Linked DNA regions of Drosophila melanogaster. The protein of the gene in region 1 interacts with the protein of each later gene in a biochemical or structural test. Each region holds a gene or a part of one and is shown on either strand. Other genes may lie near its edges.

The links. The genes of interacting proteins can lie anywhere in the genome.
Region 2: the proteins of tgo (region 1) and trh form a complex in vitro, tested with the Drosophila melanogaster proteins (one study listed by BioGRID).

The regions. Positions count from the first base shown.
Region 1 is NT_033777.3:9,016,238-9,022,029, reverse strand, and holds tgo (tango), read left to right. Parts: upstream 1-2,007; 5' UTR 2,008-2,153; intron 2,154-2,295; 5' UTR 2,296-2,347; coding exon 2,348-4,276; 3' UTR 4,277-5,257; downstream 5,258-5,792. Other genes in the region: neur (neuralized), read left to right, coding at 1-237; CG11986 (uncharacterized protein), read right to left, coding at 5,309-5,695, 5,762-5,792. UniProt on the Drosophila melanogaster protein: Heterodimers of tgo/trh are involved in the control of breathless expression. Plays a role in the cellular or tissue response to oxygen deprivation.
Region 2 is NT_037436.4:389,587-394,366, forward strand, and holds the start of trh (trachealess), read right to left. Parts: upstream 3,048-4,780; 5' UTR 2,523-3,047; exon of another isoform or gene 2,420-2,522; intron 2,208-2,419; 5' UTR 2,175-2,207; coding exon 1,900-2,174; intron 1-1,899. UniProt on the Drosophila melanogaster protein: Transcription factor, master regulator of tracheal cell fates in the embryo, necessary for the development of the salivary gland duct, Malpighian tubules and the posterior spiracles.

The DNA.
Region 1 (5,792 bases):
AGCACAAATAATGCGGCCAACAAGTGGAAGGACAGCCTGAGCGACCAGCAGAGCACCGATTCGAGTGCCGAATGCACCATCTGCTACGAGAATCCCATCGACTCGGTGCTGTACATGTGCGGACACATGTGCATGTGCTACGACTGCGCCATCGAGCAGTGGCGCGGAGTGGGTGGTGGCCAGTGCCCACTGTGCCGGGCGGTGATCCGGGACGTCATCCGCACCTACACCACGTAGAAAGGTCGCGGGCGTTTCCTAGCCAAGCAACATTTACTCGCAATCAAACCTACTAAAGCTACACATTATACCATACACACAAGTTGTTGCATTTTAAACGCAATTGAGCGCAAAGAATATTATATTGGAGAGATAGGCATTATTTTTGCAGACTAAAGATTAGATAGTTTACGCAGCTAGATTAGTGTATGAAACTATCAACTAATTTATCACACGTATGTTTAATTTTTTTGTGATGTTATAAGTAAGTGCGCCCCAGAGCCAAAACTATGTATTGTTCAATCCAACAAAGATATCTTCGTTTTTTCAATTTTTTTCAAACCTTGAATCGCCCATTTGTGCGTTGTATACTGAAAAACCAAAGTATTGTATAGGAGTTTATAGTATTTTGAATTTAAATTGGAATTAATTGAAAGTTGTTGCAAATTTACTTAGTTTTTCTCTATGTCTAAATTCCAAACGATGTGCAAAATTAACAAACACAAACTACAAGGATTCTTTATTTGGCGATTAATCATTTTGGTGCTAAATGTTTTGAAAGGCAAAATAAAATTGTTAACGGATTTGAAAAGTTATGTTTAAGCTTGCAGCAACTACGAATGACCTTAATTTGATATGAAATCACAAGAAGCAAATATTGACTACTTTCCAGCAAGGAAATGGATATCGACGCAACTCAAATAAGTTTGCAGCACAAATTAATGAACAAAGATTGATCAGAAAACACTTATGCACGTAAACCAAAATAGAAAACTGCAAGAGCGTGTTTGTTTAAAGTTAATATTAGTCTAGCCCTAAGTACTTAAGTTAATTTCTAGTCAACGAATTATGCTGAAGTTAAATCTAAACCGGACTTCATCCAACAAAGACACCACAAAAAAGACGTATTAAGCACGCTAAGCTATTTTAATGAAGCCGCATTTTAAATTACACTTAAGTAGTGCACGTATTTTAATGGAGACTTAAATATATTTAACTATAAACATAGAACAAAAGACTTGTATGTTGTACCAACAGCTTGAATGAAATATGGAAAATGGAATGCCCATCTAAATAAACCATGCAGTTAGAAAATTGCCAATAATTAATTAACAATACCAAGCAGATTTAACATGAAGGACAAGCAAAGCGGATAAAACTTTACCTAAGATTGTATTAAAACTGAAAAAATGTAATAAGCAAAGAACACAAAGAAATATGCGAAATGGAATAAAGCGCAAGCTTACTATTTTGTTATAAGAATGCATCCGGATAGGAGTAAATGAAGACATGTTATTGCCACTAATAATAAACTTTTAATTTTTTAAAGAATCATAGTTCGTAAAATTACGATACTGCGCCTAGTTATGACTAAACATTTAAATGTATTTATGAAATTATATTTGATATATGTAAGAAAACGCAATGCTGTAATACCATTAAATACTGACAACAATATCAGAAACAATGATGGTTTTATTTATTTTCTGGGAAAAGCGATTTTTTAAATGGACGCCGATCTTGTATGTTTTTGAAAGATAAAAACATTTTCACCACACGACAAGCGGTAAATTGATTTACTTAATTAGCCAACAGATAGCTGGGCCTTAAAAAAGTCAATATTAAATTAAAATTTTATTGTATATTTGTGTTTATTTTTTAGGATGAAAATTTTAAAATGTAACGTTCTAGTTTTATAGTAATGCCACTTGGTCTTGATTCAACGCACCTGTGTTGCCACCTAGCGCATTGTTATCGATTTGCTATACACTGCATCGGCATATTTGTTAGTCCACACTACGGTCACACTTCGCGCAGTAAACAGAGATTTTATCGTGTAGTGTAGAAGAAAAGTACAGAATTAATGGTAAAAGCGCATAAGACCAGCCGAATAAAATTGCCTGGATAAACCAAGTACCTCTGTACACCCCCCATTGGTGAGTAGAAGGGTAAAAAAAGCGAGGGAAATAAGGTTACTGGCCAGCCAGCAAGTGTACACACACAAGCACGACGTAGACAAAATACTAACCCCTACCCCTACCCCGCCCCTCTCTCAATTCCACGAACCTTTTTCCACAGAGCACAGGCGACCCAAATTACGACGAACGTTTTCTAATTACGCATTCCAAGCATGGACGAGGCGAACATACAGGACAAGGAGCGGTTCGCCAGCCGCGAGAACCATTGCGAGATTGAACGACGTCGCCGCAACAAGATGACGGCCTACATCACGGAACTCTCGGACATGGTGCCCACCTGCAGTGCCCTGGCCCGCAAACCGGACAAGCTCACCATTCTCCGCATGGCAGTGGCTCACATGAAGGCACTGCGTGGCACAGGAAATACCAGCAGCGATGGCACTTACAAGCCCTCCTTCCTGACCGACCAGGAGCTTAAGCATCTTATCCTGGAGGCGGCCGATGGTTTCCTGTTCGTGGTATCCTGCGACTCGGGCAGGGTGATCTATGTATCGGATTCGGTGACTCCCGTGCTGAACTACACCCAAAGCGATTGGTATGGCACTAGCCTGTATGAGCACATTCATCCCGATGATCGCGAGAAGATCCGCGAGCAATTATCAACCCAGGAATCGCAGAATGCCGGCCGCATCCTGGATCTAAAGTCGGGAACTGTGAAAAAGGAGGGTCACCAGTCCAGCATGCGTTTGAGCATGGGTGCTCGTCGTGGTTTCATCTGTCGCATGCGGGTGGGCAATGTAAACCCGGAGTCCATGGTCTCGGGGCACTTGAATCGTCTCAAGCAACGAAACTCCCTCGGACCTTCAAGGGATGGCACCAACTACGCCGTGGTTCACTGCACGGGTTATATCAAAAACTGGCCGCCCACCGATATGTTCCCCAACATGCACATGGAGCGCGATGTGGACGACATGAGCTCGCACTGCTGCCTGGTGGCCATCGGCCGTCTGCAGGTCACCTCCACGGCAGCCAACGATATGAGTGGATCGAACAATCAGAGTGAGTTCATCACACGTCATGCGATGGATGGCAAGTTCACGTTTGTGGATCAGCGTGTCCTTAACATATTGGGATATACTCCTACTGAGCTGCTGGGGAAGATCTGCTACGATTTCTTTCATCCCGAGGACCAGAGCCACATGAAGGAGAGCTTTGACCAGGTGCTCAAGCAAAAGGGACAGATGTTCTCGCTTTTGTACAGAGCCAGAGCTAAGAATTCGGAGTACGTTTGGCTCCGCACACAGGCCTATGCCTTTCTGAATCCATATACCGACGAAGTGGAATATATAGTGTGCACCAACAGTTCTGGGAAGACCATGCACGGTGCTCCCCTGGATGCGGCGGCTGCTCATACGCCCGAGCAAGTGCAACAACAACAGCAGCAGGAGCAACACGTTTATGTTCAGGCTGCCCCAGGAGTGGACTATGCGCGCCGCGAGTTAACTCCAGTGGGCAGCGCCACGAATGATGGCATGTACCAGACGCACATGCTGGCCATGCAGGCTCCTACGCCCCAACAGCAGCAGCAACAACAGCAACGGCCAGGATCGGCGCAAACCACACCAGTCGGATATACCTACGACACCACACACTCGCCGTACAGTGCTGGCGGACCATCACCGTTGGCTAAGATACCCAAGTCTGGCACCTCACCCACGCCGGTGGCACCCAACTCCTGGGCAGCACTGCGTCCCCAGCAGCAACAACAGCAGCAGCAGCCCGTGACCGAAGGCTATCAGTATCAGCAGACGAGTCCGGCCAGGTCGCCGAGCGGTCCAACCTATACACAATTGAGTGCCGGAAACGGAAATCGCCAGCAAGCGCAGCCAGGAGCATATCAGGCGGGACCACCACCGCCACCCAATGCGCCGGGAATGTGGGACTGGCAGCAGGCTGGAGGACACCCGCATCCGCCGCACCCAACGGCGCATCCGCACCATCCGCACGCTCATCCCGGTGGACCAGCAGGAGCAGGACAGCCACAGGGTCAGGAGTTCTCAGATATGCTGCAGATGTTGGATCACACGCCGACCACGTTTGAGGATCTGAATATCAATATGTTCAGCACGCCGTTCGAGTAATACCCACACCATTTCTTTCGATTCCCACTCTTCCCCCGTCCCGCAACTTAATCTGTGTCTCTCTTAACCACTTCTCAAGTGCAATCCATCTTACATTGTTGAAATAATTCAGCCAAACGCATGCAAATTGTAATCTCGTAAATAGCATTTTAAGTACATAGGGGTAGTCACGTACACGATTCAGATATCTTTATTTTTGTGTGCTACGTCTTCTTCACTTCCACCTCCCGTATCCATTAGCCCGCCCGCCACCGCCTCCACTTAACCCGCTCATTGGCCGTGCAAAAGTATTTACAATTAAGGCCTTACGATTGTTCGTAACTAAAGGCAATGTGTTTACACCGCTATATAGCCCATGAATTCTAAACTTTCTCATCGATTATATAGGATTAAGTTCATATGTGGACACGCTGTGTGCAGAGTATTCATTTGTATTTGTCATTGAGCATTTTAAAGTTCATACAACGTATAAATATATAAATAATTAAACAATTCGTAGCCTAATATACCACAAATTGATAGTTGTAAGCAACTCAGCAAGTGTACCACTTCCACGCTTTTCCCGCGAACAACATTGACACCATTTCCCATTAATTTTCGCTCATTTTTCGCCAAGGCAATCAGACGTAGACGAGCAAACAATATACGGTCGATATGTACACTTTACATGCTTTATGTGCAGCTTTTCATTTTGTTTTAATTGCATTTTATGCCGCGACAACAAAAACTTCCAAGCTCAATACAGTGGCGCTCAAAATTGAATCGCACTCGCAGAAATGAGACCATTTAATTAATTACGTCAAGTTCAAACATAACATTAGTTAGTTAACCTCACTTCGAGAGAACAAATTCTAAACAACTTTTTAGTCGCTAAGTCCCAACATTTGTAAGTAAGCTCACCACAACGATGATAATGCTTAAAACTTTGGTTATTGAGAATAAAAATTTTGGTTTTTACTGAAAATAAACTTAATGTACTACAAACTATGGAACTTTAGTTACTGATGAGGTTTATCTTTTGCCCGATTTCATCTAGCTGCCGCTGCTCTGCGGGGGAGCTGCCGTACGATTCCTCTTAAAGTCCCTGAATCTGGGTCGCTTGGCGGGCCTCTCTACGGGTGAGCCGTCAGCGGAGGTCCCTCCCATGGTCGTAGCTTCTTTTTCCTGATCCTCATCGTCGCTCTGTTTTGCTTTGATTTGATCTTCCCGCTTCTTACGGGCATTCAGCCAAGACATCATCGTTTTGTTCATCGGTGGCTTTGCGGGCTTAGCCGCCAATTCGATCGGCTTGTTGCACTCCTCGCTTTTGTTTCGCGAGTTGTTTACCAGCTTGGTAACACGATGCCACTGCAGTTCGGTAGCCGGACGCAATGTAGCCAAGGCCTCCTTGTCGCTAACTCGCTTAAAGTCCAGCCAATCCTAGAATATGCGAGGATGGGTAAATTGGACCTGGATTAACGAAGGATTAACAAATGCTTTACTCACATTCATCTGCTGCTCGGTTTCCAGGATCGCT
Region 2 (4,780 bases), on another chromosome or scaffold:
ATGAAAATGCGGTTCGTGCTCCTGGCCCGTATTGGGGTTTTTCATCCCCCTTTGCCGCCCGTGAAGGCGCTGGAAATTCCCCCTGGAAATTCCCCTTCCAATATACAAAGCAACAAAGTTGTCGGCTGTAATGAAAAACAAACGTCCCAGCAATTTTCCAGTTAGGTCAAAACTCTTTTTGTCTCACTCGTTTTTAGTTATCGTGGCCCCTCCCCCGTGGCCATCCATTTTTCCCAGTGTAATGTAACTTTAACGAATTGAGGCATAAGCAAAAATAAAAAAGTGAAAAATAAAATGAAAATAATGGGAAAAAGACCAAAATGAAATTGAGGCAGAGTCATCAGAGGCAGCCCATCGCAGGTTGGCGAGGGGAAACAATCACAGTTTAGATTTCAGCAGGGAACCCTTTTCCCGCCGCGCTGGTTGTGCTTTTAATATTACTTCGCGGCCCTCTCTTCGCGTCTTCGTCAATATTCGCCAAGGTAATAACTCAGGTGATTATAGTAATTATGCGTTCTGACGCGATCCAGCCACGGATAACGCTATTCCGATATAATTGAAAAATGCTGATAGACGCTGATTGTGTGAGCCGAGAAGTTGGAGTGGCGGAGTCGGGAGTTCAGAGTCGGAGTTAAAGTTGCAGTCCCAGTTGAAGCTTAAGTTCGGAACATGAAGGCCTATGTGTGCCTTAGAGATGTGCGTGAGCAGCTTACCGATAGGCAAGAAAGTGAGTCACGAGACTCACGACCCTTGGCACAGCTATACAATACTATACTACAATACTTTTAATATTTAAGCTATTCTGGTTTTCTCGAATGTCTCCATATCCTTCTAACGTAGCATATTTATTAAATCTTTCGCTCCGGACTATCAATTCAAAAGGCCCTGTGGCCCATCTCTAGCCATCCCAAGTCCCAAAACCCCAGACACTGGTAGTCAAAGCTGCTGTGCCCGCATCTGGAACTCCTCGAGCCTCAATCCTCAATCTTAACTACAAACTCGACTCTTTCGGCGGGGCCACCAATCAGAGTTCATGAATTACATCGCCATTGCAATATTGTTGTGGGAATGTCTAAAAGAGGTCTCGGCTTAAGACAGAGCCCGGATTGCCACTTCTGCTTCATGGCTATTGCGGCGAAATGTTCTTTGATGCCGATTTCATTTTTCGATATTGAAAATAACCATGCATTACGGAGGAGGCTTATGTACTGGGAGTGGGAAAAGTGAAAGATGGAGGGAGCTGCCCAACTTATCTCGTGACAATCGCCCGACTTCGTGAGGCGTTCATCGCTCGCTTTTCGGTGGCCTGGCGAGTGAGTGTCGAAAGTGTTATTGTCACGTAAATTCAATTAGTTTAATTATGAGTTTCATCGATGTTGGCACCTCTGTAGTGCTCTGCCTGCACTTCATAACTGAAAAATTTTAATTTTCGGACATTTAATTTTTTTTTTTGGCGAAAGCTACTTTTGGGGGGGGGGCACACTTCGTGGTGGGTATGAGGTGACAAGGTGTCAGACATGCTGGGGTCAAAAATGGATATTTCAGGATTGTGAGACATATTTTCACATACGAATAAAAACTGATTAAGGAGGTGTACCTTGTCAGTTCCTTTAAGTCACAATTTTTTTTTACCTAGAACCTCAGTTATGAGCGAGCAATCGCCTAACTTCCACCCCAAAAAGGAAGTGGAATAATTTCTCCCTGTTAGTGGGCAGTTCCATCAATTGTCTCAGCATCTCCGCATCTCAGCCCATTGGATATCAGGTGGACACTTTTCCGCCATTGGCAACGCCCCCAAAATTTGCATGCAAACTCCAGCGAAAGAGAAACCAATAGAGTGTGCGAATGGAAGGGAAATATTGGTGCAGTGTGAAGTGGTTCTGGTTTCGTTTAATTTACCTGTAGTAGGGGAATCCCTGCGGCACATGCAGATCCATCGGCATCCCTCCGGCGGTTCCCAGGTGCGGATGGTGGTGCGGATGCGAGTGCGGATGTGGGTGTGGATGCGAGTGCGAGTGGTGGTGGTGATGCGAGTGTATAGGATGGTGCATCGAGTGGTTCTGGACATGCGCCGCAGCAGCCGCAGCGGCGAACCCGGCATCGGAGGCCATCGAGTGGTGTCCCAGAACGGCGGCCCATGGCGAAGCCACGAACCCACTGCCGTGATGCTCCATTTCTAGGAGTTCCTCTCTATCTATATATTATGACTACACGCAGGTTTATTAGGGTGAGTCCGGTTTTCATAGACACGGAATCGTAGGTGTGGAAAGAAAGCTTTGCATTAATATATCTATATGATGGCAGTATGGTCTGGCCAATAAAGTATCGTTCTAAAAATGTAATAAGATAATTGGAACAAAATTCTGTTCTGTTAATTCTTGTGACTTTTAATAGTTTTTTTTTTTTTTTTTTTTTTTTTAATTAAATTTTAAACAAATCAATTGGATTAAAGTTATGCCGATAGAATTCTTTCCGCCCCTGCGATTGATCTCTCATTCGTCCTACTATGGAACTTGACCCACCCTGATGCGAGACTATTTATTTTCGGCGATAGCTTTTCAGCTATTTATCTTTGATTTGATGTGGTCACACGCACTCTCACAGAGACACAAACACTTGCGGATTATATAGACATATTTGCACATTCCGTTTGGGCCAAGATGGCGGCCATTATTTACCGTTAACGCGCATGGCCGTTTTAGGGGGGAGTTTTCGGGAGGTGGCTCGGCTCAGCTTAGCTCAGCCCCTCAAAATCATCCTTGTCCCTACCAAAAAGAACCGACGGCAGCCAAAAAAGAGCTGATGCAAACAAAAAACAAGTGAACGGTGGCTGAACGTCGAGGAAGGACGACCAAGTCACAACGTCAACCTTGAATTAGGGGTGTCGCTAGCCGTTGGGTGTACGGATTCGGGTTACACGGAGGCGAGATACTACGGGTACGATAGGGAGCCGGAGCTGGGCTCTCTCGCATCTGGGCAGTGCTTTTCCTTTCGCACGTTTTTGGTCCGCGTTCACCTCTGCACGGCACGAAAATTGGCGATAAACTATCGCCTCGCCTCGCATCAGGAAACATGGTCGGTCGCCTCGGTCGTTTGGTCGGTTGGTCGGTTGGCTGGCTGGTTGGAGGTGGTTGGATGGTTGGATGGCTGGATGTTGTTGGTCCGAACTCAAGAGCATCGTCATCATCGTCATCTCATCTGCGCTGCATCTGCGAAACTTGGAGCGGCGCATTGCAAGCTGCAAATGGTGGTGGAGCAGGTTTTCGTATGGGAGAGTCGCCGCCACACAGATACAGACCCACTCACTAATGTGGTGTGGTCCTCTCCAGCATACAGCATCCACACATCATATTGTTGTATATATCATGTTCTTGTTTTGCCTCCGCCTCGGTCTCGGGGTCTCTCCCTCTCTCTAGAGAGTCGTGAACACCTGAGTTCTCTTCCTCGCTCGGGGCATTCTCTGGAGAATTCGGTGGAGCAACTCTCAACACGCCAGCGGTGATATTGTGTTCTGTGTTGTGGATGGTGTGTGATGTTGTTGAGGGCGAGATAAGACGGTCTACTGGGGGAGTCATTTGCTCCCATTATGGGGAGGCCCATTTCTGAATCGACTGAAGCACATAAAGGAAAATTTAGGATTTGAAATGGGAATTTGAAGGATAGGTCAGGAATATTGAGAAAGTATATTGAATAATGGCTTGCGCCAAATAAAATACTTTATAATTCAGACATATCTAAGTCATCAATTTTAGTAAAGACGTTCATAAGTTCGTTCTATCTAGTTCTTCGTTCAGCAATTGCATTACAATTGATGTCCACTATAAATTGTAACCATAAAACTTCGTTGTATAAGGAACAATGAACATGTCTGCCATATCTGCCCATTCCACCAACCTGACCTGTTCCCACAAAACATTTATGATTATTTCCATTGCATTATTTCCATTCTCATTCTCATAGTCATTTCCCCAGATGGCGGAAACGGAGGACTTAGAAGAGGAAGGGCTGACAACTTAGTTAAATAAGGCGCCACCTGTCAAGTGATTTTCAATAAAATAAATTCGTGATTACACGACAATATCGAAACGAAAAATCCAAGAGATCAGCACAACAATAACAAAAGACTCCCACGGGGAATGCTGCTGCCCGTTTGGCCTCCAGTCCTCCCCCACTCCCAACTCCCCAGTTCTACCTTCCTGGCCCATCACACACGACTTGGACTTCAGGTTGCGAATCCTTGGCACACACTCACATCCCCAAGCAAACGGAGCCTCCACTTCTGAATCGCAGTCGTGCAGGGTCAACGTCAATACTGAATGTTGTCGCCGTTCCAACTGTCCGTCCAACGGAGCGTCCGTCTGTCGTTGAGTCCGTCCGTCTGTCTGTCTCGGTGTCTTGGCTTGTTTACAGTGTGCAAAAATCATTTAGACAAGTTGACAAAAGCTCGTTTGGAACGTGAGTAACATGAGTTGGACCCGAGACTGGAGATTCGAACTGGGGACTCGAGACCTGAGACTGCTGCCTTGGCTGCCTTCGGAATTGGTTCTGCCCGTCCGCCGGTTGCCGTTTTCTGCGGTTATTTGGGCTTTTGGAGCTTCTCAAGTATCTGAGGTCTTAATTCTAAACATGGCAAATGTGCCTAGAGCGTGCTGCTCAGCTGCTGCTTTGTTTCTTTGCTTCTATAATACTTTGGCCTGCGGCGGCGAATAAAATAAAATGAGGCCTTGCCCCAGCCGACTGACCTTTGGCTGTAATGAAAATGCTATCCCAGTTAAGAATG